4 linked regions of the Pelodiscus sinensis genome follow. The protein of the gene in region 1 interacts with the protein of each later gene in a biochemical or structural test. Links are inferred from orthologs where the notes say so. Each region holds a gene or a part of one and is shown on either strand. Other genes may lie near its edges.

Region 1 (7,603 bases):
CTGCACCCATTTTATCCTCATGAGTGGTTGGCTTGTGGTCTGCAGAAAAGTCTGTGTTGAGCGGGGTGGGCCACAGGCCAAAAAGTTTGAGAACCACTAACCTAGATGGATGTAATGTCCATGAGTGTGTCTGTATTAATACAACAGCAAGAGTGGCATAGGAGGAAAGGCCATGGTGAAAGAGGGGTTAGAAAAAGGTCTGATTTCTAAAAACTAGCTTCGCTTTCCTCAAGTTTCATGCACCTTGCACTGCAGTCGTGCACCTGGCATCCCTATTACACATTCCTGCATCCTAACTCTCCCCAACTCACCTGTGCTGTCGGAAGGCTACACGCTGCCTTCTACTCCCCCTCTAGGCCACCAGAAACTGCAACTGCTGTCTCTGAGCTGGCAGCCCTGTGCCTCCTTTCTTCCTGCTCCCTCCACAGACTCCCAGCCCACAAGGAGCACCAGTGACAGCCAGCGGAGAAAGCAGTGGGGGCAAGAGCAATCCATGGAGAGGGGCTCCACACTAATGGCTCCCTGATTCTTCTGCCCACAGTCACCTGCTCCAGGCGTCCCCATTGCAAACCTCTGACCACAGGAACAGCTCTGTATTAGCCCCTTGCCCCAGCATCCCAAGGCCTTCTTCTTCCTGAAAATCCATTTACCCCGGAACAACCTTTCACCCTGGTGTCAACAGCCCCAGCAGCTCCCCTTGCTCCACTACCCCCACCTTGCCAGGGTCCCCAAGCTGACCCAAGCTGAGTACCTCCACTCAGAGCCAGTAAGTTCTGTGCAGCTTCATTTCCTAGTAGGGATGTAAGCGACTAGTTGAGTAGTCGACTAACAGATAAGCCTAGGCTTCTTGGTTAGTTGAGTTGATGATTCAAGTACTCACATCCTTCCCTTCCCCCCGCCCCCCTCTTCCAGGCACCACCACCTTCCACTGCCTCTGTATCACAGGCAGCAAAGGGGTGGGAAGCAGGAGCCAGTGCTGGCAGGAGCTAGCTTAAAAAGCGAGGGATGGGGAAATTGCCATGTACAGAAGATTGTCCATGGCAGCCTGGGCTGGCCGCAGGCAGAAGATTCTCCGGCAATAGCTTCTGTCCGCAGAGGGTCCAGCTCTGTGCTGGGGTCCCCCATGGACAGGGGCTGCTGGACCCAGAATGAGTCGTGACTGAGCAAGCCTAGCTCTTACTAGATTTAAACTGCAGAGTCTCATTGGGTATGTCTACACTACAGCACTAATTCGAAATAACTTAATTCGAATTAGTTAATTCAAACTAAGCTAATTTGAACTAGTGCACCTAGACCTAAAAACTAGTTCGAATTAGCGTTTTGCTAATTCGAACTAGCATGTCCACATTGAGTGGACCCTGAACCGGGGTTAAGGATGGCCGGAAGCAGCGCTGGCAGGGCATCAGATTAGGACTTAGAGCGTGGAGCTGCTGTCTCAGGCTAGCCGAGGGCTGTGCTTAAAGGGACCCGACCCCCACCCTGGACAGACAGTTCTCAGGGTTCCTCTCTCACTTGTCTAACTTGATGAGGGACAGCAAAGCAGTCCTGGCTTGGAGTGCCCTGAGTGCCCACACTCGGCACATCACAGCACTGGGCCATCAGACCAGCTGCACTTGCCGCAGGCTGCCATCCGGGGAGGGGGGTCAATCAGGGGCCTGCAGAAGAGCTTCCACCCTGAGGAGCCCGCAGAGCCACCCCAGTCCTCCCCATCAGGGGCTCGTACCCCATTCCTCCCTCACCTCCTGCCACTTACCCCTCCCTAGCCCCCCTTCCTGATATACAAAATAAAGAACACGTGTGTTCAAAAATAGAAACTCTCTTTACTTTAACAAAACTCGGGGAGACTGGGAAAAGGAGGTGGGAGAGGGGAAGAGAGAGGGTGGGAGAGGGGAGGGCAACTAAAATGATCAGGGGTTTGGAACAGGTCCCATATGAAGAGAGGCTAAAGAGACTGGGACTTCTCAGCTTAGAAAGTAGGAAACTAAGGGGGGATATGATAGAGGATATAAACTGAGGGGGGATATAAAAGCACGAGTGGTGTGGAAAGGGTGCATAAAGAAAAGTTCTTCATTAGTTCCCATAATAGAAGGACTAGAGGACACCAAATGAAATGAATGGGTAGCAGGCTTCAAACTAATAACTGAAAGTTCTTCTTCACAAAGCAAATAGTCAATCTGTGGAACTCCTTGCTGCAGGAGGCTGTGAAGGCTAGAACTGTAACAGAGTTTAAAGAGAAGTGAGATAAAGTCATGGAGGTTGTGTCCATGGAGTGCTATTAGCCAGGGGGTAGAAATGGTGTCCCTGGCCTCTGTTTGTGGAAGGCTGGAGATGGATGGCACGAGACAAATGGCTTGGTCATTGTCTTCGGTCCATCCCCTCCGGGGTAGCTGGTGTTGGCCGCTGTCAGCAGACAAGCTACTGGGCTAGATGGACCTTTGGTGCTCAGAGTCGGGGGTCTCACTGGACCACCTTGATTTTCATGCAAGCCTGCTCCTGGGTGGCCAGGCTCGAGCCGTGCCAGGTACAGGGTCTGCTGGCTGGGTGCTGGAAGGCTTGCACCTGGCACGGGCACCGTAGCCAGTCCATGCCCCTTTAAGGGCTCTGGGGCCGGGAGGGGGGCAGAAGAGTTTCCCTGGTGGTGCCCAGAGTGGCCACCAGGGAAAGCTGGGGCGGGCTAGCCTCCCACTAGTTCGAATTAAGTGGCTACACAGCCCTTAATTAGAACTACTTAATTCAAACTAGGCGTTAGTCCCCATGGAATGAGGTTTACCTAGTGCGAATTAAGCGCTCCGCTAGTTCGAATTAAGTTCGAACTAGCGGTTTGTATGTGTAGCGCCTATTAATGTTAATTCGTTCTAACGTCTGTTAGTTCGAATTAACTTTGTAGTGTAGACATACCCATTGGGAGTAGCTCCCGGACCCAACACAAACAGGGACAGAGCGCCTTCCCTTATTGACTAATCATGTAGTCAATAACAATTCTATCGTCTACACGATTATTAAAATACCCACGTCTTAACATTCCTATTTGCTACTCCTGTTGCTTTTTGGGGTAACGAGTGTTGACTATACATTTAAGATTATGGTTGTATGTACAGTATTTGCAAATACAGAAAAAGCTCAGAGTTACAAGCACCAGACCATTTAACCACAGACTTCATCTAGAACCAGAAGGATGCAATCATGCAGCAGCAGAAAGGGGGAAAAAACAGAGTAATGTAAACTACTAAAAAAAGGGGAGGAGTTTAAAAATTGATAGGGAAAGGAAACTGTCTGAGTGCTTGTTTCATTTAAATTAAACAAGCACAGAAACAGTTAAAAGCAGCATTGGTTAAAGCAGCAGATGGTGAAAAGCAGCATTCTTCTTCTGCATAGTAAAGTTTCAGAGAGGTATTATATTCAACTGTAAACTTTTGAAAGAACCAGCATAACGTTTTGTTCAGCATTACAACCAGCCTCCATTCCCGAGGTGTTTGTAACTCTGAGGTTCTGCTGTATGTAAAGTGGATCATTAGATTGTTTGTACAAAATGTCCTCCATGGTGTGGCACAAAAGTAGCTAGCTGTGCATCTCTCTCAGTGAAGAGGGTTGGAAACTCCCTCAATGAGTAATTCTGGAAGCAATTCTGTTGTGTCACCTTTTCATCCAATGCAGAATATTTGTGGTGTTAGCTATTCACTATATTTTTGGTGCACGATTATGAAAGTGAGGGAGAGAAAAAGGAATGAAAACACAAAATTTGTCATTGAACTCTTCATCTGGCCTTACAAGATGAATTTAAGGAATTTGACACCCTGGGAGACTCATGGAAAAAATCAGTATTTTTAATGTTTATGTTTTATTATTATTTATTTTATGTATTTGTTTAATTTTTACAGAGAGACATTAACTGTCTTTCCTTATCTAATTCATTTTGCTTGCCCATGCACAGCTATGAAAAGCTTATAATAGAAATATTTTTGTATGTATGTAGTGGAAAATGCCAATTTAAACAGGATGTTTGAGATCAGAAGGACTGACCCAGAATCTGTGCTGGGACAGACATGAAAGCATAAAAATTTCATTCACAAAGGTTTTCTGGGGCCACTTTTTTTTTAAAGCCTAAACAGAGTCACGCACATGCTGGCTCGGAAGCTCCCACAGTGTTTCCAGAGCCGAGCTGATTGCTTTCAAAGTTATGCAGAGCTACATCCTCAATGGACAGCAGCCATGAACAGGACTGGGAACAATTACCAGCTGACGGAGAAGTTCGTCGGCAGTGGGTACACTTTTGCCAGCTACTACCCTTGGATGGCCCAGGGAGAAAGAGGCAGAGTCAATTCCACGCCTACTTGTTTCCTTTCCCGTCTTTCGCCACAGTTTCAACTGATTTTGATTACTCTGGCGCCAAATAAATGAAAGCATCTCATAGACATATAATCATCCATCACTGTGAAGAAAGGAAAAATGCTTATGTACGGCATGTTTATAAATACACTTATATGAAGAAAGGATAGCTCTGTCGTTTTTAATCTCGTGCTGCTGGGTAGCTAGCTGAATGTCATCAGGGCAAGCTGCCTGTTTTATTTTTTCTTTAGTCCTGACATGGTCTTAGGGGCACACTAGTGGAGCTTGTGATGATAGGAATTGAGAGATCTGTCCCCTCCACAGTTCTAAAGGTTAGTGCTGATTGGAGGTAAGTGATCGGAGGCTTTTGAAAGCAGGAGTCAAGTGTGTTCCATGCATATATATTGTAACAGGACCACATCAAAGGGAAAAGGGACTCTTAACAGATTTAGTCTGAATAATGTTGTACAGCCCAGGGTAATAAAATGATTCCATCGGGGAGTTGAGTCAATACCAAGAGAAGAGGAGCAATAGAAGTGACAGCTAGTATGCCCTTTGCATGTGTGTGTGTGTGTGTGTGTGAGATATGTAGGCATTACTTCATACGTTATGTGCTAATATTCCTTGTAAAAGCATGCAAATCTTTTTGACTATTTGGCTACAATAGAAAAGCTGTTTATAGAACATGACATTATTGCTACTTTTGGTTTGCACTGCACGGAAGAATGTCTTTTTTAACAAGCGCAGCATTTTTAAGGCAACTCTTGAGATATTATTTCCTGAAAAAAGAAAAGAAAATACTCTTTTCCATGTTGTGTGCTGAAAATAGAAGAAAATAGCATGAAAATATTATCAGACCATGTAAATTTAGCTTTTTGACCCTCATTCATTGTATGTCATATCAACAGATCTGCTGATATGCTGCTATTTGCATTTGACTTGGACACACAAACACTAGCAAAATGTTTGCCCTTTGTAAACTATTGTCTGTGCTTGGCTTCATAGAAATCATTAATGCAAAACTTCTCTTCATCTGAATCTCCAAAAAACATTGAGTGGGAGAGAAAAGCTTTCAGTAAAATGGCTGAAATGCTGTGGCAAAAATGTGATAGTACGATTGTTTTGTGTCCAAATGTAGGTATAATCAAATTGCACCACATTGTGTTGCATGGGAAGGGCAGAAAACAGAAAGAAAGGCTAATTTGATTATACAGACTACTTCTGAATTGCTAACCCTTGGCAGTAACTTCCTAAAAAGAGGGAGAGTAGTAGGCAAAGTCCTTAGCCCTTTTGACCCCACATGTAGGTCATCTCTTTATTATGGCACAGAGAATATTGTTAATACTTAAATTATTTTTTATATAAGCATTACATAACTAATGCAGCATGGCCAATGGTCATAACCTTTTTGTGAGTCTTGGTGTTTTTCAGAAAGCCCCAAATCCTGAAGACAAATGATGATATGAGAATCTCAGTCTTTTATTTAAAATTAGCTCCAAAAGGAAGTTTCTAGCACCTATGACTGCAGAAAAAAATTGAAAACATGTTCCAGTGTAATCTTAAAGCTCAAAATCCTGAACATAAGCTAAATTAATCAATCAAATTAAAAGAACTTCAAATTTATTTTAAAGATGCTCTCATGCATTTTGGGGGCCTGACTCATGATCTCTGAATGGAACAGGGTTTGCAACACTATCAACAGAACAATAGTCAGAGCTGGATGTTGACTGCAGTCTAGAGCTATGTCTTCCAAAATGGAGGATGACCTTTGCTTCCTACAACTTCACCTACATTCTTACACAACTATAACTCCTTCTCCCACTGGTGGCAGCTAACAGACTTCACTGGCTATGAGGGGGGGCAGAGTAAATTGCATGCTTTAAATGGTATTATTAAATTAGTTTTCCAACATCACTACTGCCACTGCTACCACCATCTCTGTAAATGAGAGGGATAATTGGTCTTTGATGCAGGATGCTTCCTAGCTCACTCCATACCACCCCTTGCATCCAGCTAAGCATGCTTAACAGCCATAATTTAACTCTACAAGGCTATTTTCTTCCTTATTCCTACAAATGAAAGAAGGGGAAATGGAATGTATCCTAGATATAATTGCTATTTGCATATGTGCCCTAAAGAGTTAAAACAAAGCTTCTCCAATCTGGTGTGAGTGCAACAGCATAGTTACATAAACCACACCTGCATTCCCACACTGGACATATGGATCTGGTGAGCAAAGTAAAATATTACCTTAACAGACATTTTCATAATGAGTCTGATCTGCATCTAATTTAAACCAGACAATTATTTAAAAAAAAGTAAATGGGGATTGTCTTTTACTTGCAGGATTAGACCAAAGTGAGTGTTATTCACATATTCCTCAACTTAGACAATTTCATGGCTATTTTCCAGTCTCTCATACTGAGTCATAACTATCTAGCCACTCCTCTTGGCTTACTAGCTACTGTACTGACTGAGCCAGTATCTCAGTGGCAATTCTTACATGATTGCCTCAGGCCAGTCTTCCAGGATATATACTGTTTTATCCCTGAGTACCTTTTAGTAGAGGTCAGAAGGCTGTCGGCCCTTTCATAGATTTACTCGAGTGACGTTACAGCAACACAATTTAAGACTCAAGTGGTCTAATTAAAAACAAGAAAAAAAGAAAAATAAGCTTAAAACAGACAAAAAAGTCCTTCTCACATATCTAGTCCTTTACTCGGCAAGACTGAAGCTATGAAAAACAGACATGAAGTGGACTTGTGGTTAAGACAATAAATCGTGTCTCAGGGTTTAGGGGTTTGGTTCCAGACTCCTGTGAGACTTTAGGCAAATCACTTAACCTTTCTGCCTCCGTTTCCCATTTGTAAAATTGAAATAATTTCTTGTCTGTCTTGTCTATTTAGATTGTGGCTCTTTAAGAGGGGGATTCTTGCATACCGTGTGTTTGTACAGTGCTTAGCACAATAGGGCTGTGGTCTGGGATAGCACCCCTATACTCTACGATAATACAAATAATAAATGAGCAGTAGTGGATCTTGGTTTAATTGTAGAAGTACAAAACTGTCACTTTACCAGAGGGCTCCCTGCCTTTCTCCTGTGACCTCTTCAGTACTCCAGTTTGTCTGAGGCTATGACTACACAGCAGTGTTATTTCAAGATAACTGACATTATTCCTAAATAACAACGTCCATGTCTACTGTACAAGCAGTTATTTTGACATAATGTCAAAAGAATGTCAAACTGGAGGACTTCTTACTCCGACTTCTGTAACCTG
Region 2 (7,220 bases), on another chromosome or scaffold:
TACATGGATATAGCTATTTATCTCTATCTACTAGAAAATGATATATTGTCTCTTTCCCAGTTAAGATGGGTCATTGCTAAAGTCATCAGAACACGATATTGCCAGGAACACAGTAGTTATTGTTAAATCAGCTGCACTAGATACGAGTTGGAGATACCCAGCACCAGGTTAAATTCCAATCATTAAACCAATAGATTAATTAATGCTAGTGAATACTAAGTAGGGAAAAGAAATCACCAACCCAGCCATGTTGGACATGCTACAGACTACCAGCTCTCATGGATGGGTCACTGGGGACAAGACAAACTCCATGCGATTTGCTACATCTCTGGAAGAGGTCTGAGGCCTGGCTGCAGATCATTCTGCAGGGTCCTTTAGCACCGGACCGGCCTACGCAAGCCCAGGGGGAAGGACGCTTTGCCCTCCCCTAATCTGGGGTGTCGGGCTGCAGGAACCCCCCCAGGAAGAAGGTGGATCCTTTGTGGTGAAAGGCCCCCCACACACATACAGCAGCAGATGGGAGGCTCGGGATCCGCTGTGTTCACCCCTCGCCCTGCAGTCAGTGCCCTGGAGCTAAGGCCCCTCACAAAGCCAGCAGGGTAGGGGAGCTGAGCGAGTCGGAGGAGGGCTCGTTGCTACTGCTGCCCTTCCTGTGCGCGGCCGCACAGCTGGGGAAGGAGTCGGCCTCGGGGTAGGTGAAGACGAAAGTAGAGGTGTAAGTGCTGGGGCAGGGGGTGCAGGTCACCACTGGGGTGCAGAGCGGCTCCAGCTCCCCGCACGCCCCGGCCGCCAGGGGCTCCCAGTCTGCCGCATAGAAGGATGAGGAGCCGGCTAAGTCCATATCGGGCACAGAGCGGGCAGTCTCCCGGGACGCGTGCGGGAAGAGGAATTCATCGAAGGGCTCGGGCTTCAGCTCCAGGCCGCTGCTTCCTTTGGGAGGCTCCGGCAGGGGCTCGGGCTGAGCGGCCTCCTGTATCATGGGCAGAGCGAAGGCGGCCTCCTCGGACTCTGGGGAGCTGGGCACAGGCGCCTCGCTCAGGCCGCTCAGGTCCAGCGAGGAGACAGCGAGCTCCTCGGAGAACTGCAGCTCCTCCGGGATCTTGCAGGCTGGTCGGTGCGCAGCCAGGATGAACTGGAGCTTCTCCTTCTCCTTCAGCAGGTTAGCGATCTCGGTCTGCAGCGCCGACTTCTCCTCCTCCAGCTGATCGGTCTCCTGCGGGCACAGCGAGAGGGGAATGAGACAGAGTCGCAGGCGTGCCCGGTGCCCCCTAGGGGCGCACAGGTGCTCGGTGCGCGGCTTGTGGTAGGGGTCGGAGGCGGAGGAGAACTTACCGCTTGCAGCGTGTCTGTCAGTTCTCGCCTCCGGTTGCGGCACTTAGCTGCTGCCATTTTGTTCCTTTCCCTCCGGATCCTCCTCTTTTCCTCTTCCTCTGGGGACAGCTAAGGAGAGAGAACGAGCACGGTTAGAATCCGCTGCCACCCCACGCCGGTGAGCCCTGGCTGCCTCACCACCGCCAGGCCAAGCTCCCCTTCCGGGTCTCTCCCGCCTAAGCCATGTTAAGGTGCTCATAGACTGCGTCTAACAGGCATGCCAAGGAAGGTTCTGAGCAGGAGAACCAAGCGAACTCCAGCTCCTCGGACAGTCCTATTGGCGCTGAGCCGGGTTATCCCTCAGCTATTCACCCTTCCCATTCAGTGCAACTGATAGGTCAGTGTCTTCTGCTGAGCGGCTCTCGAAGAGCCGTCAGAATTGCCCTTCCCCTTCTATCCCCCTGCCCAGATGCTACCTAGGGACGATCGCAGAGGGCTGTGTACTCACCTGTTCGATTTTGCCCCTTCTTCCAATGCTTTGCCCTCTGCCTCCTGCGCTTTTGACAATTCCAGCTCTCGAATAGGCGCTGGCTGGAGGAGTAGGGACCCCGTAGAGATGGGCCCGGTTCTGGGAGGGTGCCACTGAAGAGATTAAGGTGGGCTGTACCATCCATTGCAGATCTGGACTGGTAGAGATGGCAGTCACTGTGGGTACGAAGTTGGCACTTGAGACAGCTAGGTCCGTGCAGAAATCCTGAAGACACAGAGAATTGATATTAGTAACAGAAGCCTAGGCCTGGATGAGGAGGAACCCCCTCTCCCCGTCCTGCACCCCCTCACCAGGCATATCAGACACAGTGACCCAGAGGCTTAGTTCTGTGCTATTTTGAGCCAGGCCTTCAGCCCCCGGAGCTAGGCAGGCTCAAGCGCTGCGCTACCATCATCAGACTCCACATGAAAAGGGGGTTTGTTATAAATATCCCTGACGTCTGCACTGACGCAGGCGCCGCTCCGGAGTCTCCTCAATGAACTCTCGTTTTATCAATGAAACCGCTTTACACACCCGCCGCAGAGCGGAGCCTGGGCCACAATCCCTCTTCCCTGTTGCAGGGACCAGACAGTGGCCTCCCCCACATCTCAGAGTAGCCTTCCCTCCCCCCCCCCCCCGCACACACACACTAACTCTCCAGGACAGGGAGCTAGACTGCTGCCTCCTTCTCTCCCATGCACAGGCACCGAGGAGAAGAGGTGCGCCCAGTGCAGGACAGACCCTTCCTGATGCGGGCTATCTCTGCACCTGAGTTGCCCCGTCTGTCACTGTGCGATGTTTGGAGGCGCAGACTGCTCCCCCTGCCCGCAGCAGTTACTGCCCCGGGGGCCGTCACCAGCCAGAGTCCCGGTCCCTCACCTGCTGGTTGACAGGCGAGCCCATGCTGGAAAAGGAATCCGCCGGGGAAGTGTAGTAGGTGAGGCTGTCCCCGGCCGGAGAAGCGCTGCTGCAGCGGGAGGAAGACGCGTCATAGTCGGTGGTGAAGCCTTGGTACATCATATCGTCTAGGCTAGGATTGTCCAAACCCCGTTTAGGCGGTGAGGCTGTCCCGGTTGACTGTGTGTCTGTCCGGGCCGACTATCCCTCTGTCCGGATTGTCTGTCCCCAGCCGTATCTCTCGTCCCTTTCCCGGCTCAGTCACTCAGATTAGCTCTGCTGCTGGAGTAGAGTGCGGAGCCCCACCTTTTAAACCCTCCTTTGTGAATGAAGCCTATGTCGTCACTGGCAGACCCAACATCTGTGGGAGGGGGGACGGCGGGATGCTCCGCCTCTAAGCTTTCACCACAACTTCCGCCTCCCTCTCCCATCTTTTACGTAATCCAGTGGGCTCGCCACTCCATGTCAAGGTGGTTACCCTGAGAATTTTCAAGGGGTCTGAGCCGCTCAGGGTCAGGAAGGGCTGCTGGTGTTCCCCCTTCCATAATGGTACAGTCCCAGCTCGGGAACCCACTGACGCAGATATCCTTATATGGGATACATCCTGTGCAAGGGGGTGTGACTGACGGGAACCGCTCCAGGCTGCAGCCAAGTGAGGAGCGCGAGTGTGTGTGTGTGTGTGTGTGTGAGAGAGAGAGAGAGAGCGAGAGAGCGAGCGCTTGGGCTATGTAGGCAGATTGCAGGTCCTCTTGTTGAGGCCAAACTCAGGTTCAAGTCCCTGCTGCAATAGCGTCCCACCCCCACAAGGAGAATCACGTTCGGTTAGTTAGAAACCTCCACAGAGTTCATTCACCTTTAAGGCCCAAAGGTGACTTTTTCAGCCCTTCTGCTATCTGCACCTGCTTCCTCTTACTCAGCCCCGTTCAAATAGTTCTAAACAAGTTCGATTGCAGCTATATTACCACATGATATTAAACTTGCTTTTCACTTTACATACACGTCTGAAGACAAGGTCCCTGACCAGACGGACTCAGCTGTTAACAAACAAAATACAGAGGAAGGTTGGGAAAAGGATAATAGGGGCAGCTTGGGAAAAGCAGTGTAAGTAAGCAGCAGAAATAGAAGGCCAGTCTTGTTAGTTTCATTATCTTTTTTTATTGTTGATTTTTTTTTAAATATCATAAGGCTTTCCTAATACCTTTTAAAGGTAGATGGAAAACAATAAATGTCTTTGCTATTATTTAGGGAAGAAGGATTGTGCTGTTTTGTTGGTTGTTAGAATAACTTTTAAATTATAGCTTAGCTGTAAAAGAGCTGTTGATCATGAAGAAATGAACAGTTGTGTTGGGGGGGTTGTTTTGTTTTTGAGAAGCCTGTATTTTATGTTGTACTTTTTATCCAGCATATTTAAGTATCTGGTGTTGTCCTATCTTATCTAATATTTCTAAATTAATATGTGCATTCTATATAATAAGCCTGTTAATTGTATACAAAGTGTCATAAAGTAAGTAGATTTCTTGTTATTTGCTGTGTAGTACTGCCCTTGCAGGGAGTCAGGTACTGTGCATTTCACTTTAGGATATTGTAAAGTATTTGGAGAAAAGTTAATCACATTTTTGTTCACCTTTAAAATGCTTTTATATAATGAAAACTTGCAGCTGGAGGAACTGCCTTTATAAATCATAGAATCAAAGAATCATGGGACTGGAAGGGACCTCGAGAGGTCATCGAGTCCAGCCCCCCGCCCTCAAGGCAGGACCAAGCTCCGTCTACACCATCCCTGACAGATGTCTGTCTAACCTGTTCTTAAATATCTCCAGAGAGGGAGATTCCACCACCTCCCTTGGCAATTTATTCCAATATTTGACCACCCTGACAGTTAGGAATTTTTTCCTAATGTCCAATCTAAACCTCCCCTGCTCCATTTTAAGCCCATTACTCCTTGTCTTGTCCTCAGAAACCAAGAGGATCAAAGTTTCTCCTTCCTCCTTGTGACATCCTTTTAGATATTTGAAAATCACTATCATGTCCCCCCTTAATCTTCTTTTTTCCAAACTAAGCAAGCCCAGTTCATGAAGCCTGGCTTCATAGGTCATGTTCTCTAGACCTTTAATCATTCTTGTCGCTCTTCTCTGTACTCTTTCCAATTTCTCCACATCTTTCTTGAAATGTGGCGCCCAGAACCGGACACAGTACTCCAGCTGAGGCCTAACTAGTGCAGAGTAGAGCGGCAGAATGACTTCACGAGTTTTGCTTACAACACACCTGTTGATACAACCTAGAATCATATTTGCTTTTTTTACAACAGCATCACACTGTTGACTCATATTCAACTTGTGGTCCACTATGACCCCTAGATCCCTTTCCGCCATGCTCCTTCCTAGACAGTCGCTTCCCATCTTGTATGTATGGAACTGATTTTTCCTTCCTAAGTGGAGCACTTTGCATTTCTCTTTATTAAACTTCATCCTGTTTACCTCTGACCATTTCTCTAACTTGCTACGGTCATTTTGAATTATGTCCCTATCCTCCAAAGAAGTTGCAACCCCACCCAGTTTGGTATCATATGCAAACTTAATAAGCGTACTCTCTATCCCAATATCTATGTCATTGATGAAGATATTGAACAGTACGGGTCCCAAAACAGACCTTGCGGAACTCCACTTGTCGTCCCTTTCCAGCAGGATTTAGCACCGTTAACAACAACTCTCTGACTACGGTTATCCAGCCAATTATGCACCCACCTTATCGTGGCCCTATCTAAGTTATATTTGCCTAGTTTATCAATAAGAATATCATGCGAGACCGTATCAAATGCCTTACTAAAGTCTACGTATATGACATCCACCGCTTCTCCCTTATCCACAAGGCTCGTTATCCTATTAAAGAAAGCTATCAGATTAGTTTGGCATGACTTGTTCTTCACAAACTCATTTTCTGCATTTTGCTTTATATGCACTGCAAAAAGAGCTGTGTTATCTAGTGGTTATCAGTGCAGTCACCCTTATCCAAAACCTATTGAAGTCAATAGTGAGGCTCCCATTAACTTGAATGTACTTTGGAACCTACCGATATCATGGGCCATTTTCCCAATCCATCCAGAATATATCATTTCACTTGCAGAAATTTGAATGGCAATTATACCTGTTTGTGTCCAAGAAAAGGTGCAAGTTATATCTACTTTGTGAACATAGATTGTATCCCTTTTATTTTTTCTTAAAACAATATTTATTATACAAGACCCAACAAACTTAACTAAAAACTAAATAAAAAATGATGCGGTGTATACTGGGTGTTATGGAGCAGTTACTCACTAAAGAAACACACGTATTTTATTGTAAATAAGTCCGGATCCCTGGCATAGAACTCTTTCTGGCTATACTTTGGGACTGGAATATTACAGAATGTACATGTGGAAAATATAACCGCCTCCATTTCCTGCATTGGGGAAAATGTTACACTCCTGTGCAATTATTATTCCTGTTATTAAATATGTAGAATAATAGCTGGGAATATAGTGAATAATGGGCACAGGGAGGAGTCGTTAGTTAAAGTCCACCCTGTGCTTTGAAGGAGGACAGTGCCACAGGGGAGGCTATTGTTATTTACTGGGCACTGAACTTCCTAAAAAAGCTGTATACAAACAGTAATGAGAGGGAATTGTTGAGATATGCCCTGTGCCATGGTATGTAGATAGGGGGCTGCTTGCCTGGGAGACTGCCAAGCAGCGGTGGTTTCAGGCAGAGGAGTTTTCTCCTTTCCCAGAGTTTGGATTTGCTGTAACTCTCGTGGCAATGAAGTTCGGAGACACCCACCCACAGTGGGGATGTCAGGCAGCCCAGGCTCAGGTCAGGCCAAGTCAGGAGGAGCCAGACCGCAGACTCGCCTGGCACGGGAGACAAGAGATCGCATAGCTATACATAGTAACAGGGAAGCTGCAGCGCTGAGTCTGTTTACAGCAACAAACAGAGCCTCGGGCGCAGTCTCCAAGCAGGGAACGTCACAAGATCCAGGCTGGGATGATCCTGCTGGCAGCAGCTCCTGCTGCCTGAGCTCATGGGCTAAATGCAGCGCTTGATGCTGCTGCGCGGTCACCTCCATTCTTAGAGATCTGGGCCACGGGGGCGGAGGAACCGGGCCAGCGGCTATGTCAGATCACCAATACTGGCGGTCGCCCCCCCTCCCCCGGGGCGGCGCGGGGAGCCTCTCTGATCTCTTCTGCAACTCCTGCCCCAGGATAGTCTTGCTCTCTCCCTGCCCTGGGACTGGGCTGCCCCAGCTACAGGGTAGCCAGAAACTTGCTGCGATTCTGGATTACTACCCCAGTTGTGCTGGTAGATGTTCTGGCTTCTTTCAGGCAGATTTCGGAGCTGGAAATCTTAGTCTTAGTTCCATCTAGTGTAGAGAGCTATGGCATGGGCAGAACTGTGCCTAGCAAAGTGAGGCTGAACATAGTTGCAGACTGAGTTCTGCGGGGCAAGGA
Region 3 (7,568 bases), on another chromosome or scaffold:
GTTCCAGAGAGGATGGAGAGAGGCTGTTCTCAGTGGTGGCAGATGGCAGAACGAGGAGCAATGGTCTCAAGTTACAGTGGGGAAGGTCTAGGTTGGATCTTAGGAAAAACGATTTCTCTAGGCCGGTGGGGAAGCACTGGGATGGGTTCCCTAGGGACATGGTGGAATCTCCATCCTTAGAGGTTTTTAAGTCCTGGCTTGATAGCGCCTTGGCTTGGATGATTGAGTTGGGTTGGTCCTGCTTTGGGCAGGGGGATGGACTCAAGAACTTCTGAGGTCTCTGCCAGCCCTGGGATTCTATGATTCTATGATCCTGGAGAGGCTCAGCTCTTCGAGGCAGGGACCGTCTCTGATTGTGTTTGTACAGCACCTAGCCCAGTGGGGACTGGGTCCCAAGCAGGGCCCCTAGGCAATTCTCTCATACAAAGGAATCGTTGAGTCTTTTGTGCTCCGATATTGTGTGGCTGGCTGTTTTACCTGGATACTTTATGCCTGGGAGTCAATGAAGACATATTATGTACATACAGAATGGGAAGCGACTGTCTAGGAAGGAGTACGGCAGAAAGGGATCTAGGGGTTATCGTGGACCACAAGCTGAATATGAGTCAGCAGTGTGATGCTGTTGCAAAAAAAGCAAACAGGATTCTGGGATGCATTAACAGGTGTGTTGTGAGCAAGACACGAGAAGTCATTCTTCCACCCTATTTTGCGCTGGTTAGGCCTCAGTTGGAGTATTGTGTCCAGTTCTGGGCACCGCATTTCAAGAAAGATGTGGAGAAATTGGAGAGGGTCCAGAGAAGAGCAACAAGAATGATTAAAGGTCTAGAGAACATGACCTATGAGGGAAGGCTGAAAGAATTGGGTTTGTTTAGTTTAGAAAAGAGAAGATTGAGGGGGGACATGATAGCAGTTTTCAGGTATCTAAAAGGGTGTCATAAGGAGGAGGGAGAAAACCTGTTCATCTTGGCCTCTGAGGATAGAACAAGAAGCAATGGGCTTAAACTGCAGCAAGGGAGGTTTAGGTTGGACATTAGGAAAAAGTTCCTAACTGTCAGGGTAGTCAGACACTGGAATAAATTGCCCAGGGAGATTGTGGAATCTCCATCTCTGGAGATATTTAAGACTAGGTTAGATAAATGTCTATCAGGGATGGTCTAGACAGTACTGGGTCCTGCCATGAGGGCAGGGGACTGGACTTGATGACCTCTCAAGGTCCCTTCCAGTCCTAGTATTCTATGAGTCTATGAAATACCCTCTAGCACTCTGATAGGGCTCTGGGAGCAAGATCATGTCTCAGTAGCACACAGAAGGGAGGCCTGTCTGCACAAAAGCAGCTCTCACCCTGCTCCCACACCCGCTTCTGCTGACCCCCAAAGGCAGGGCTTATTTTCTGCAGATGCTACTTCTCGTCTTCCTCTGTGAAAGTGGCTTTGAGACGACCCATTGTAAGGTCTGTAAACATGGCCCTGGTATGCAGAGCTAACGCCTTACAGCTGCTGGGATTGACAAATGGATTGGCTGGACTCTGCTCAGTGCAGCCTCAGTCTGGAATGCAAATTGCCCAGCCAAAGTGCAAAGGCAGATACAAAGTGAGGCGTGGTGATCCGTAGGCCAGGTCTACTCAACTTTGGAAGCCCTGGCGGGGGCCACAATGGTACTCCCAGCACATGCCGAGGGCCGCAACTTAAGTGTGGTTGCATATACATGCAAATATATATGCAAATATATGCAAATAGCTTTTTTCACAATGACCAGAATGAATACAAAGGCAAAACTACACAACACGCAGGTCCCATTTAAGTCAGTTCTGCTGCTATTAATAAAATGCAATATTTACCACATTTCCACCCATATGACAGCACTTTTAATGAGCAATGACAGTCCCGGAATGTAACTACTAAAATGCATCTCAACAGAAGACCATTCCATTGATTCGCCGTTGTGGAGCGTGTTCCCAGTGGAGTCCATGTTCAAAGGATCCCACTCGTGGGCCGCATATTGAGTAGCACTGCTGTAGGGCATGCTGGTAGCAGGCAGTCTGAAGAGGGTTTGAGCCTCCAGGATCTTTGTAGACACACACAAGCAAAATCGATTAGAGTTTGTCCAAGGAGAATCTTATCTTTACTACCAAGATGGATTCAAATTGCTTCATTTAACATGGCTACAAAGAACAGTTTGGGGATTTGGCAAGAGCTACATTTATGATGTCAGAGTATTATGATACCATTCCATCCGGCCATGTCACCACAGAGCATCCCCAGAGCCTCCAAAACATGGGCCCAACCATCCTCCACACACAGTTCAGCCAATGCACCTCAGTTTTGACCAAGAGCCTCCTTAAGACTGGAGCTTAGCAAAGAGATTGCTAAGGGGGGAGATATGGCAATGACATATAAAATCATGACTGATGTGAAGAAAGTTAATAGGAAAGTGTTATTTAGCACTTCTAATAATGCAAGAACCAGAGGTCACCAACTGAAATTAATAGGCAGGAGGTTTAGAACAACTATAAGGAAGTACAACATACAGTCAACCTGTGGAACTCACTGCCAAAGGATGTTGTAAAGATCTGGGTGTCCCTAACCTCTGAGGCTATGTCTATACTACAAGGTTTTTGTGCAAAAACCCATGGCACGTCCACACCTCAAGCGTGTTTTTGCGCAAGAAAAGCTACAGTCAATCGACAGAAGAGGGCTTTTTGCGGTTTAGGTATACTTCCTTCTACGAGGCATAACTCCTTTTTGCGCTACAGCTCTTGCGCAAAAAGGCATGTGTGGACGCTCCGCAGGGGTTTCTTGTGCAAAAAGAGCCTATCTGAAAAAGCACGGGTGCTCTGATGGCCATTCTGTGAATGGCCATCAGAGCTTTCTTGTGTAAGAGCATCCATGCAGAGTGGACGCTCTCTTGTGCAAAAGCGCATCGCAAAAGCAATGCGCTTTGAGGTGTGGACGCACTTTTGCGCTATAAGTTTTTGTGCAAGAGGCTTTTTGCACAAAAACTATACAATGTAGACAAAGCCCGACTGCCAGAAGCTGGGAGTAGACGACGGGATAAATCACCTGAAAATTGCCCTGTTTTGTTCATTCCCCCCGTAGTTTCTGGTGTAGATCAAGGTTAGAGACCTGGGCTAGATGGACCATTGGTCTGACCTAGTATGGCCATTATTATGTTTTTTAGCTCGCAAACTTACTGCCACATGTGCATCCTTGGTAAATCTGTTAAACATTTAAACCCTCCATCCCTGTTACTGAGATCAGAATCTGACCCTCCCAAATTCCATAGAAAAGAGCAACCAAAGCAGTTCAAAGGCATGGAAGAGAGCTAGAGCTATAAATCAATTGCTAAGCAACCATACCAATCTCCCTCTGGTCAGATACAAGATTTCAACAAAAGGCATCATAATAAAAACTACCAAAGTCTGGGAAAGGGGGGAAAGCAAAGCCAGGTTGCCCTCTGCTCCCTCTACCTGTGTAGGACTGTTACCTGAAAATAATTCATGTAGTCTTTTATAGCGGATCCTGATTTTTGCAGGGGAGAAACTGATAATCATCACCGCCCTAAGCTTTCCCATTTTCCATTGGAGGCCCAAATCTTTTTCTCTCTTTGCAGCTTGTCTTCAAGGCGGGGAACAGAAAGGCTCTTTAATCCTCCAGGTAATTCTCTTCCTTTGTGCTGCTTCCATAATCCTGCCTGTGTCACCCACAGAGAAAAATGTAACGATTAGTGTTCATCAGATATAGGTATTGAAGCTGCCCCTGTTTCTGCTTCAGACCTATAAAGCCTGTTTGATGTCAGAGGGCTAAAGCGCTAAGAGCACAGAAAATTTAACAGGGATTGTGGATTAATCTAAATGCGTAAATCTTCTTTAAAACACCAGGTTACTGACAACTAATGTACAATTTAAAAACCCCCTAGATTCTCTATGTTTTCTGTGCTGGAAGCCTTAGATCATAAAATAACCATCTTTGAAGGGCATTCTCCTGCCTCACTAGTCTCTGTAACAGATTGTTTCCATTGTTACGCCACGATAATACAATGGAATCAGATTCCATGTGGGATAGCAGCTTCCATCCAGCCTCTCTCTCAAAGTGCAGCTGGACAGATGTCATTGCCCTCTCCTTGTGGCAATGAGAGGTGTGGGCCAGGGGCTCTCAGAGACGATCTGAAAGGAGACAGCGAGTTCATGAGCCGGAGGGCAGAGGGGGGGCTGGGGAAGCTGTTGGGGGTGGCAGGGGATGCATAGGAGAAGGCTCTTGCACCGCCAGAGCAAAGGGCATGAGAAGCAGCAGCTGGGCTGGGACATGGAGTGGCAGGAGGGGGCCTGGAAGTGCAGACCCCAGCACTAGGGGGTTATGGGGACCCCCAGTAAAACTCCTAAAGCTGGGGTGGGGCGGAGCTGGGGCAGCCCCCTAGAGGCCCGGGCCGGTGACTGCTGCTGAGTCCGGGGCAGGGAAAGTCCAAGTTAGAGGCGGAACGGGGGGAAGCCGGCCAGGACTACAAGTCCCAGGTTGCCCCGCGCGGAGGGAGCATGCGCGCTGGGCCTGCTGTCTCCGCTGGGAAGGAAGGCGCTGCCCTCAGTAGCTCTTGCTGTCTCCTGCCCGGCGCTGGCCGGAGCGGCGCCCGGCGTCACGGTGAGGGGCGCCCCGGGCCTCTGAACGGCGCGGGGGGGTGACTGTGGGCTCTGGGCGTGGGGGAGGGGTGACTGGGGTCTGGTCGGGGGGCAAGAGGGTGTGACCGTGGGGTCTGGGTGTGGGAGTCAGGGGGGTGTGACCGTGGCTGGGGGGGGTCTGGGTGGGGGCGGGGGAGAAGAGAGTGTGACGTGGGGTCTGGGTTTGGGTCGGGGGGGGGGAGAGGGAGTGACCGTGGGGTCTGGACCTGGGGGGAGTGACCGTGGGGTCTAGCCCAGGGTGTGTGTGTGACCGTGGGGTCTGGCCCGAGGGGCAGGGGAGTGACCGTGGGTCAGGCCTGGGGCGAGAGGGGGTGACCGTGGGATCTGGCCCCGGGGAGCAGTGGGAAACAGGGGGTGACTGGGGGGTGTGGTTCTGGGGGGGTGGCCAAGGGGTCTGGGTCTGGAGTTGGGGGGTGGGACCGTGAGGTCTGGTCACTGGGAGAATCCGAGGTGTGTGTTGTGGGGGGGAGGGGAGCTAACCAAAGTCTGCTGGCTGGGGGTATCTCTGTCAGGTGATAGGAGGTGATGGGCGGTGTAACTTGGGGTTCCCCTCGTGGTTTGGCCGGGAGTAACTGGCTCCCTTCGTTTCTTCCTTTTCCTAGCGAGAAGTGCATCGCTGCAAATTCAGGCGACTTGTCTGTGCCTAGCACTTGGACCACTCCTCAGGTTTGGTCATTTCTCATTATTCTGGGGGGTGCTTCGCATGTGCACTCTGTGTGACCTGGAAATGTAACTTCCACTTTGGTATCCATAATTTTTTTTCTTCCCTGCCTCAGTCACCCCATTCCCTCTGATCTGACAGGGTTGTCCAGCTCTGGGGCTCTCATTGCCCCTCCTTGCAGTGCCCAGCTGGGATACTATAGTATCCCCTCTATCTCCCTCACTACACAACGGTGAGTGGCTGCCATTTTCAGCCCTCTCTAGCGTGGCACACCCACCTTTGCAAACCATCTGTCAGTTATTCCCCCTTGCAGAGGGGGGTGTCCAATTCAGCATCACTGCTTTCATTTTCAAAATCTGTTGTCTCCACTCCCATATGACCCTGGTCTCTGGCAGGTGCTAGTGGCAGACACCTCCTAAAGTGCATGGGGAGACTCAGCCCACTTAGTTCATTCCCAAATAACTATTACCAGAGTTGAAAGTGGCACTAATTAAAGATAGTTGGTTTTTAAAAAAAATGAGTAATAGTTTCAGATCACACACCTGCCCAAGACTTCCTGCCAATGTGTGTGGGTTAAAAATCACATGCTCCTATTTTTAAAAATGTTTCGCCCTCCCCCATTGCTGTGTGAAAAAAAAAAAAAACCCACATACAACAGGGAAAGTCTGGAAACTGTGCACAAGGTGCCCTCAATGCACAACCAGTAAAAACAGAAGATAGCTGCACCAGTGCAAACTCCAGGGATGGGCAAAGCTGCATCATGTGGGCAGTTGTTTGGAATGGGGTAAGCTGCACTTGTGTAGGTCATAGCTTTGCCTGACCCATGCTTGGGTTTGTGACGGCTGAAGCTAAGCCGGTTGTGTGTGTCATCTTTCCGCTACGGCCCGGTCCATACCTGGAAATTGCCCAGGCTGAACCAAATCTGTGCAGCTTCCTTGCAAGATAACTTACAGTCAACACCTCATAAGCTGATATCCACATTGTGAGGCGGATGTGAATTTAGCTTGCAGAGGGTTTGTGCTGACTTAATGAAATCATCAGAGAGAGAGAGAGAGAGAGCGTGTGTGGCCCAGCCTTTGCTCGTTCCTTGTAAAAAGCTCTTTCTGACTGATGGGATTTGAAGCTGATGGTGACCCCTTATGAGCTCAGTTTATTTTCATTCTCTCAAGTTATGACATGTTTAGGCCCTAAAGATGTTTTTAATCTTGCATCTTTTAAAACACTTTGCTCAGCTACTTGGAAGAAGTTCAGTGGAAGCTGCCTTTTAGGGAAATGAGAGGGGTTAGATTAGTTTTGACTTGGGGTTAACTTTTCAAAAGTGTCACAGTCCCATTTTCACTGCTGTGAGTGAGCCACATCCATCTTGACTGATTTTGCCTCATTAATGCTGGTCTTCCACTTGATAAGTAACTTCCTTCTTTCTATATATAGCTACACACACACACCCCTGCCTCTGTAATTTCCATTCCAATTCATCTGATGAATTGGGTTTTACCCATGAAAGCTGATGCCCTAATAAATCTGTTAGTCTTTAACATTCCATATGACTGACTCCTTGTTGTATTATCCCCATGATACTGCTGAGGAACAGAGAGGGTAACTTTCCCAGGGTCGTGCATGGGGTCTGTGTCAGAGAAAGGAATTGAGCCCGCATCTCCTAAGTGTCAGGATAGTGCCCTAACCACCACATCCCTCTTTCTCACTAGTTGTGCTCTTTCTATGGCTCTACCATATAAACAGTAATTTCTGAGCCTGATTCTTTAAAAGGATGCTGACGGCTTCTTAATATTTCCAACCAGAGTCTCTTACCTATGTTACAAAGAGCATTTGATTCACTAAAATGGAACTTGTGATGAAAATCTAATTTTCTTTTAGCTGTTTGTGCTGATTGTTTTTTGTGATTCTCTTGGCCTGGGCACTAAATACTGGTTGAGCTAAGTTTCACTTTTTGGCTTTTATTCAGTTTCACTTTCAGGAGCTCATTGGAAACCCTTCCCCCCCAGGAGACTGTTTGCTTAAAAGCAATTGTTTCTTGTTTTGCATTTGAACAGTCTCCTGAAATATCTGTGTTAAAAACCTTTGCCATTGGAATGAAAATAAAGGAATGGAAGCATTTCTGTGGGCATTGGGTACATATAAACTTGTGTATAAGGAGGGTTGGCCAGTCTTGAGTTGACATTGTTTCTTCAGTGCAAACCTTCCTGACTAAGGGTCTGATCCTACGAGGTGCTGAATGTG
Region 4 (7,216 bases), on another chromosome or scaffold:
AGATTTATTTGAGCATAAACTTTCATGGGTATAATCCACTTTGTCAGATGTAGCTAGTACTTAGACGTCAGTAGTTAAAAATCCTCATGGTTCAGCGCTTAAGATCTCTATCACCTGTACAAATCTTGTGCATCAGTATTTACTATTATTACTGCATGTTTTTGTATACAAGTCACTAATCCCTTTCTGAATTCTGCTAAACTCTTGGCCTTTGTTATGTTGTGTGGCAGTAAATTTCACAGATTAATTGTATATTATGTGAAACTGTTTCCTTTTAACAGTTTTGAGTTTCTCACTTTTCAATTTCATTGAATGTCCTGTGGCTCTTAATTTCTTAGATAGGGTTAATCAAACTCCACCTACACTTTTGGCTATTCATTATTTTTATGTTTTTATCATGTCCCTCACATCTCCATGCTAAGGAAAATAATCCCAGTCTTTTCAATTTTTATAAGATTTTTTCCATTCATTGACTCAAACTTTCTCTAACCCCACCCCCAAATTCAGCAATATCCTTTTATACTGATCTTGAGGTTGCTTTGGCATCTATCGTGTGGTTTTAAATGGCCACATCATATCATTTAGGCCTATATTGTTTAGAGTAAAAAAATACTTCACCATTACAATATTGTTTCAAAGCTGTTTTCTGTATTTCAGATTTCCACATACAGAATGCCTACATTTGTGTCAACCCTTATTTCATGTTCTTTGTCTTGGCTAATTATAATAGTAGCATAGAACTTTGACATTTTGTGTGCATCAAGAAATACATAAGAATGTTATCCAATTTTACTGTAGCACTGATAATTATAGTAAATTTCAATTCTGAATCATACGTAGCATATATTTAAAAATTTGGACTACTGGATGACATAACAGGAACATATACAGTGTATCCTCTGGAAACAAGTAGTATTCCACAAAAATAAGGCTCTTTTGACTACTTTAAAGGCTGTTGTTGCTGTTCTTGTTAAAGTGGTAAAATAGTTAAAGACTACTGGTGGAGGATAGGGTACTGACTAATGATAAGGAGGGAACCAGAAAGAGGAAATGAAGAATTAACTGAATAAAAACTGTAAAGGGGCTAGTAGTTAAAAACAAATACCAAAACTGATAAATTTTAATATTTTACAAAATATCAATATGAAAGTTTTACATAAGAGTTAAAAAAAAGAAAAGTCTTAGAAATGAATAATGATAGTTAAATATTGCTATTTTTAAATAATGTTAAAATAACAGAAAAGGATTTGGAAAGTGAAGGTGGCAGAACTTTTTTTTTTTTTTAAGCAAACTTGGGTAAAGGCTACCAGCTAACCAACTATCATAGGCAAGCTTAGGCTCCCATGTTACTTGGCCCATCCTGTGTAACTAAACAGGAGAACGTTTCTGTAATATTTTCTAATGCCCTCTCAAGTTACCATACAAATATGTAAAGTTCATATTTATCCATCAGAGGTTCTGCTTCTGGACTGACAAGTAACATGAAGAAACATGGAATAGGTATTTTCCTGAAAGCAGGAAACTAAACACATGAAGTTTCCTGAGGCTATGTTTATACTACAGCTGAAGAGAACTGCCATCATGTCTGGCTGGGAATCTCCCCTCCCATTCCAGGATCTGAGCCCTCTGGTCCCTAACATATCTGCGTTTACAGATCATCTAAGCGACAGGACGGGAAACCCCTTGAATCACCATAAAACCAAGCAAGACTCATCAAAGAGCTAGATCAGCATAAGAACTAAGTCAGAGGGAAACACAGCCTCGATGGGCTCAGTTACTGGGATCCCAATCTAGCCTCCTTCCCTGGAAAACATTCGTGTGTGGACTGCAGGCTGATTCACACCGTTGTTCTCAACAGGCATAAAAATACTTCCAAGCCACCAACTCCCTCCGCCCAGCAGGCACGCACACACGGTTGAAAAAACTGACTCCCAGAACTAGTAACACACAACCCACCGCTACTCATCACAGCCACGACGGCAGGCAAAAGTGGTTGTCAGCCCCTCTGCCTGACCCTTCCCCCAGGCGCTCCACGCAAGGCCGAGCGGGGAAGCAGGCAAGCGAAATACACACGAAACTGAAAGTGCAGGCGGCGGCGGCGGCGGCGAGGGATGGCGGCGGGGTAACGCCGACGGCGCATTCGCCAAGGACCGATTCAAACTGCTCCATTTCAGTCCGCCCGGGTGCAAAGCTCCGCGATGGCCTCGGGCAACCGGCACGGAGACAGCCCCGGGCGGGGGAGGCTGCAGCTCACCCCTGCTCTCCGGAGACGTCTCCCTCCAGCCTGTTTGTTTGCATAGCACCAAAGTGCGCCAGCCCAGCAAGTTCCCCTGCCGGCGCGGCGCTGCGCTCCCCCTCCCCTGGCTGACAGCCCGTCCGCGGCGGTAAATACCTACAGCACCTGCCCCCGCGCCATCTCCTCTTGCTCCGGCTGTGGGAGGACGCCGCGCCGCTGCCCCTGGGAGCGCTGCCCGGACAGGTCCTTGCTCCTGCCCAGGACACGCGCCCGTGGCTGGGGGGGGGGGGGGATCCGGAGGATAAAAACACCGGCGGGGCTAAGCACATCCCAGCCGGCCCCGGAGCGGGCGAGGTAACACCCCAGCCCCGCGGGAGGGGGCCGCCGAGAGACAGCGCCGGGGACACCACCTGACCCGGCCCCTCCATCCCGCCCGCCGTCAGCCCGCTCCGGCCCGCCACGCGGGGGGGGGGGGGGAACCCGCCCGGCCGCCCCCAGGCCGGACTCACCCCGAGTCCCTGCTGCCAGGCGCGCGCAGGATCCGGCCCCCTGGCGCACCCGGGGCGGAGGCAGCGACACCCCTTCTCGGCTACCTTGTCCGTGTGTCAGGGGCAGGCGTCGCGTCACCCCGCCTGCCCTAGGCCGAGAAGCGCCCGCCGCCAACGCCGCCGCCCGGAGAGACTGAGCCGGGGCCTCCCCAGCAGTAGCAGCCGCCCCGGGGGGGCGGGAGGGGGCTTGGCCAGTGTAACAGCACAATCTGCCCTGCCTCAGAGCGTGCCCCTGTCCCTTCTGCACATGCTCGCACTCCGAGCGGGCCCAGCGGGCATGCGCGCGGCGCCCGCACATGCCCACTGGCGACGGGAAGCTGCTGCCCTCACTCTGCCCTTTGGCTCGCGAGGGCTGCTCGCGCTGGCCAAGGGAACGCCCGCCGCGCGCCGGGCAGCCGAGCCGGGGGAGGAGCAGGCGGGAGGGATGGAGGAGCGAGCGCCCCGAGCATGGGTCCAGCAGCAGCAGCTCGTGGGAGTGACTGGCGGGTGAGTGACTGGGGAGGGGAACAGATCAGGGGAGTGGGGGCGAAGGAGCAAATAGGGGCCGAGTCGGGGTAGGTGTAAAGCGGTGTGGATTGGAAGGAGGAGCAACAGATCGACTTGGGGGAAGGAGGCAGCTTGAGCAGCAGATCACGGTGCTGGAGCAAAAACTTGGAGGAGAGAGGAAGACAGAGAAACAGAGCGGGGGGTCCGAGGGGATGGAGGCAGAGAGAGCGGGCTTGTAGGATAGTGAAGCAGCTTTTGAAGAATCTGGACGATCAGTGGGATGCAAAGATGGGTGACCAGGTGTAGGTTAAGGGAGGGAGGAGGAGCAAAGCGGAGAGAATATAAGGCTAATAAAAGGGCTTCATTGGATTTGGATTGTCATCCGTGGAATGGAATCTTAGATTGACTGAATAAAACTAGAATACAAGTATTCAGTATCTTCAAATATGTTTGAGTGGTTTTGTCAGTACTGAGATTAATTGTGTATCGATGTCCATGTTTTCCCCTTTCGATTTTCCAGACTGAGGTATGATTTCTGTGTGGAAAATGTTATGATCGATGTTGTCTAGATGTATCAGTTAAAATATAACCAAGGGTCTCGCTTTCAAGTGATTTTCAAAATAGTTTTTGCTGTGGATTTTTTATTTTTGTATTTCAATTCTTATTTGTTATTATTTATATTAGTGATGTTTTTAGTCGTATGTTTTCTCTCTTACTTTGGAAAAAGGAGGGCTAGTACTGTAAGACATTTTTAAATGTTAGTAAATATCTATCAACATGTTAATAGATCATAAATAATCCTGCTGAGGAAGTACTTTGACTTTTCCTTCCTTTTTTTTTCCAGAGGTCATCAGTACATGTTTTGTTCTAGTAATATGTAATATTATAACATGTGCTGTTGTTTCTGTGTTTTGCATATCTGCTTTCTGTAATAGTGTCATATTTATTGAGAAGAACTGTTAAAATGTAATTACATCAATGTACAATGAAAAAAATGAAAGATTTGTATGGGGTCTAAAACTCTGATGCATGAGTACCCAGATATCTGTAAAAACTAATTTTTGCTAAAATAAAATAATGATCCTTACTGTCAGTAGCAGCTGTCATTTTCACAATAGAGGCTGTATATTAATAGCCCAATCACTATTCATGCTTTTAACAATGAAAATAGTAAAAACACTTTCAGTGATAGTTTCTGTAAACATAGCTGCATCCAATAGTGACTACCTGCACTCCATATATGTTTGCAGGATTGGAGCTTACTTTGCTATAGGATGACACAGTAACTATGTTCAGGTTTTTTAGCATTCAGACTAAAAAAGAGTGAGATTTTTTGGTCAACAGCTCTTATTGGAAAACTCCCAACTTTCTCTTCTCTTCCCTTTTTCACTTTAAACAAGGCTACAGAACTTAGAGTTGGTGATTAGTTTTCCCTTTTTTTTCCTGTGGTGTACACTGATTAGACTTTATCCTGGATAATTTTCTATGTTCTAACCAAGGGGGGAAATTAGATCTTGGTGGAGTAGTATGATATAAAATTATTGCATTAAGACCCTTGTAGAGATTCCCTCACAGAATTTCCCCATATCATTCAGGCAAGGAAGGGGAGATTCCCATCATCTATAGAAAAGGTTGTAGAGCTGTCTCTGAGCCTGTAGGTTTCTCAGGATCCAGAGCATGCCTCCACACCTTGGCATTTCTGAAAACCAGGACACTTTCATGTAAGTATCTAAAAATGGATTTGAAAAACTTGGTCTCACATAATGAGTGAAATGACATATGTGAGAATAAGAGAAATGAACACATGAGGTTATATATGTAGTAAGATGAGAGCCTGAAATATAAGCCCATGAATCACAGGCCTGATATGAGGCCTAGCTAACAATGGTCAAGACTTTGCTCACAGCTTAGTTTTATATTAGCAATGGATTGGCCCCTGCTTCTGTCAGTATCACACAGAGCTGATAGTGTTTTACACTAATTAGTAATAGGCACAGCTGTAAAACAGTAATTGGTACTGCCATGGATTGAAAGCACATTCCAGAAGGATGGTAAAAAAGGATCTTTGTACCCATGCATTTCCCACAGTAACAGGGACATACAGACTCCAGTTCAGAAAAGGGTCTAAAATGACAGCATGATGGAGAGAGCTGTTTTGATTGAGCCACCAGATGCAGAGTGATGGATGATGTCTAGGTAACATCAGAGTGATGTGTAACTTGTTTGTAGCTGTATATAAAGTTGCTTGAATGGCCTGTCTTTGGCCTAGGAGGGAGTAGTACCTCCCACTGACTAATCTGGTCCATTGTCAGGGGGTATATATGTGTAGTAAAGCTTCAGGGGGTAGCTGAGTTAGTCTGTACAGGATAAACTTAAAAAGCAACAAATGGTATGCTAGCACTTTATAGACTAACAAAACATGTACATGGTATCATGAGCTTTTGTGGGCACAGTCCAGTGGGCTGCCCAGACTCCTTTGATCTTTATCTGATTGTGTGGTCTTTGGGGATTCTTTTGGAGTCTGCTGTATTGACTACTTGCACAAAGTCAACACAACACATGGGAGGAGCACACACACACGCATGCAGCCAAACAGTTATCATCGACAGAGAAGGAGACCTGTCAGGATACCACATCACTCGCTCCTGACTACCACACTATCCTTGAAAATCTTCTCTGGTAACATTTTTTATATGTAAAAAAAATCTCTAAAAAAAATGTAAAACTATTAATAAGTGCAAATAAATGATCATATATGTTTATTTCTGAAAATGAAGTCATACACACAATGTAGACACATTCTCATGTAGTAAGAGTTCCTTTTGAAATAGTTATGTTAAAAATATCTTACCAGATAACAGGTAGTGTCTGTTGAAAGTCCATTCAAGTTTTCTACAAATATAAAATATATCACAAGATTATTAGAGTAATCCAAATGTATAAGACATTTATTATCCCCTCAGTGATGTGGCATGGAAATTCTTGGCTTTCATACTAATGTGTATCAGGAGTAACTACACTGAAGTCAGTGAGTTACATTGGTATAAAGTAGGGATGTAAAATCCCATTTAATTGATTAACCTGTTAAAAAGAGGGGGCCTCTTCAGCCCAGCTGGAGTGCCCTCCCTGTGCACAGCAGGCCCTTAGCATAAAACAGCTGTAAGGTCTAGATTGACTCTTCTGTTTGCAAACATTTAACTTCATCTGTGCTAAAATACCATAGTGTTAGCTGTGATAGAATAGAATAGAAATTTATGTGCAGATTATACATACAAAACTGTTAAAAGAAAGTTATTAAGTATAAAGCATAAATAAGACCGTGCAACTTTAATTCAGCCTCCTTGTGTGTTTGCAATATGATACAGTCTTTAATTACATTATCACATACTATGTTTTCCACGGGTCCCTTCCCTCACCCTAGCTTCTTTTCCCAATCCCATTATCCTAACCTAGCAAGTCCCAATCTATACTGATCAGCCTTCTCATCCCAATCTCGGTCTCCTTGCCCTACCAGTCCCAGTTTTCCTCGCCTATGCCAACCTCCAGCCCCAGTTGCTACACTTCAAGCTCCTTTTCTCTAACTCCTACCATCACTAGCCTCCCACATGTCCAGTTCTTGCACTATCTGCATTCTAATCCAGCAGTTTTCTCCTTCACATTGTGTAAGCATTAATGGGGGATGATCTTTGGGAGCACAGAAGAGATGGGCTTCTTGCTCTTACTTCAGGTACATGAACCTTCAGCTGTAACTACAAGAAAATCCTGCTCACCCTCAAGCAGCAGCATGCCTAGTGTGGATGGCATCTTCAGGGGTTTTAGCTGTTAAAATCTAAGGCCCAGATCCTCAACGATATGCCTAATTCATCTTTATTTCAATGGTAGTTAGACCCAGATCCTTAAAAGTATTTAGGCGCCTATTGATTTTTTTCCCCCAAAGGCTTGTAAA

The links.
Region 2: the proteins of RUNX1 (region 1) and FOS form a complex in vitro, tested with the Homo sapiens proteins (2 studies listed by BioGRID). The link is inferred for Pelodiscus sinensis from reciprocal best matches to the Homo sapiens genes RUNX1 and FOS.
Region 3: the proteins of RUNX1 (region 1) and DTX2 form a complex in vitro, tested with the Homo sapiens proteins (2 studies listed by BioGRID, with this or other methods). The link is inferred for Pelodiscus sinensis from reciprocal best matches to the Homo sapiens genes RUNX1 and DTX2.
Region 4: the proteins of RUNX1 (region 1) and ELF2 form a complex in vitro, tested with the Homo sapiens proteins (2 studies listed by BioGRID and IntAct). The link is inferred for Pelodiscus sinensis from reciprocal best matches to the Homo sapiens genes RUNX1 and ELF2.

The regions. Positions count from the first base shown.
Region 1 is NC_134711.1:184,931,483-184,939,085, reverse strand, and holds the start of RUNX1 (runt-related transcription factor 1), read left to right. Parts: upstream 1-4,601; 5' UTR 4,602-4,616; coding exon 4,617-4,675; intron 4,676-7,603.
Region 2 is NC_134714.1:43,955,589-43,962,808, forward strand, and holds the start of FOS (protein c-Fos), read right to left. Parts: upstream 3,011-7,220; 5' UTR 2,861-3,010; coding exon 2,720-2,860; intron 2,066-2,719; coding exon 1,820-2,065; intron 1,441-1,819; coding exon 1,333-1,440; intron 1,214-1,332; coding exon 584-1,213; 3' UTR 1-583. UniProt on the Homo sapiens protein: Nuclear phosphoprotein which forms a tight but non-covalently linked complex with the JUN/AP-1 transcription factor. In the heterodimer, FOS and JUN/AP-1 basic regions each seems to interact with symmetrical DNA half sites.
Region 3 is NC_134731.1:15,621,523-15,629,090, forward strand, and holds the start of DTX2 (putative E3 ubiquitin-protein ligase DTX2), read left to right. Parts: upstream 1-4,556; 5' UTR 4,557-4,631; intron 4,632-5,271; 5' UTR 5,272-5,335; intron 5,336-7,568. UniProt on the Homo sapiens protein: Regulator of Notch signaling, a signaling pathway involved in cell-cell communications that regulates a broad spectrum of cell-fate determinations.
Region 4 is NC_134715.1:44,504,730-44,511,945, reverse strand, and holds the start of ELF2 (ETS-related transcription factor Elf-2), read right to left. Parts: upstream 3,008-7,216; 5' UTR 2,830-3,007; exon of another isoform or gene 2,746-2,829; intron 2,414-2,745; exon of another isoform or gene 2,393-2,413; intron 2,326-2,392; exon of another isoform or gene 1,957-2,325; intron 1-1,956. UniProt on the Homo sapiens protein: Isoform 1 transcriptionally activates the LYN and BLK promoters and acts synergistically with RUNX1 to transactivate the BLK promoter. Isoform 2 may function in repression of RUNX1-mediated transactivation.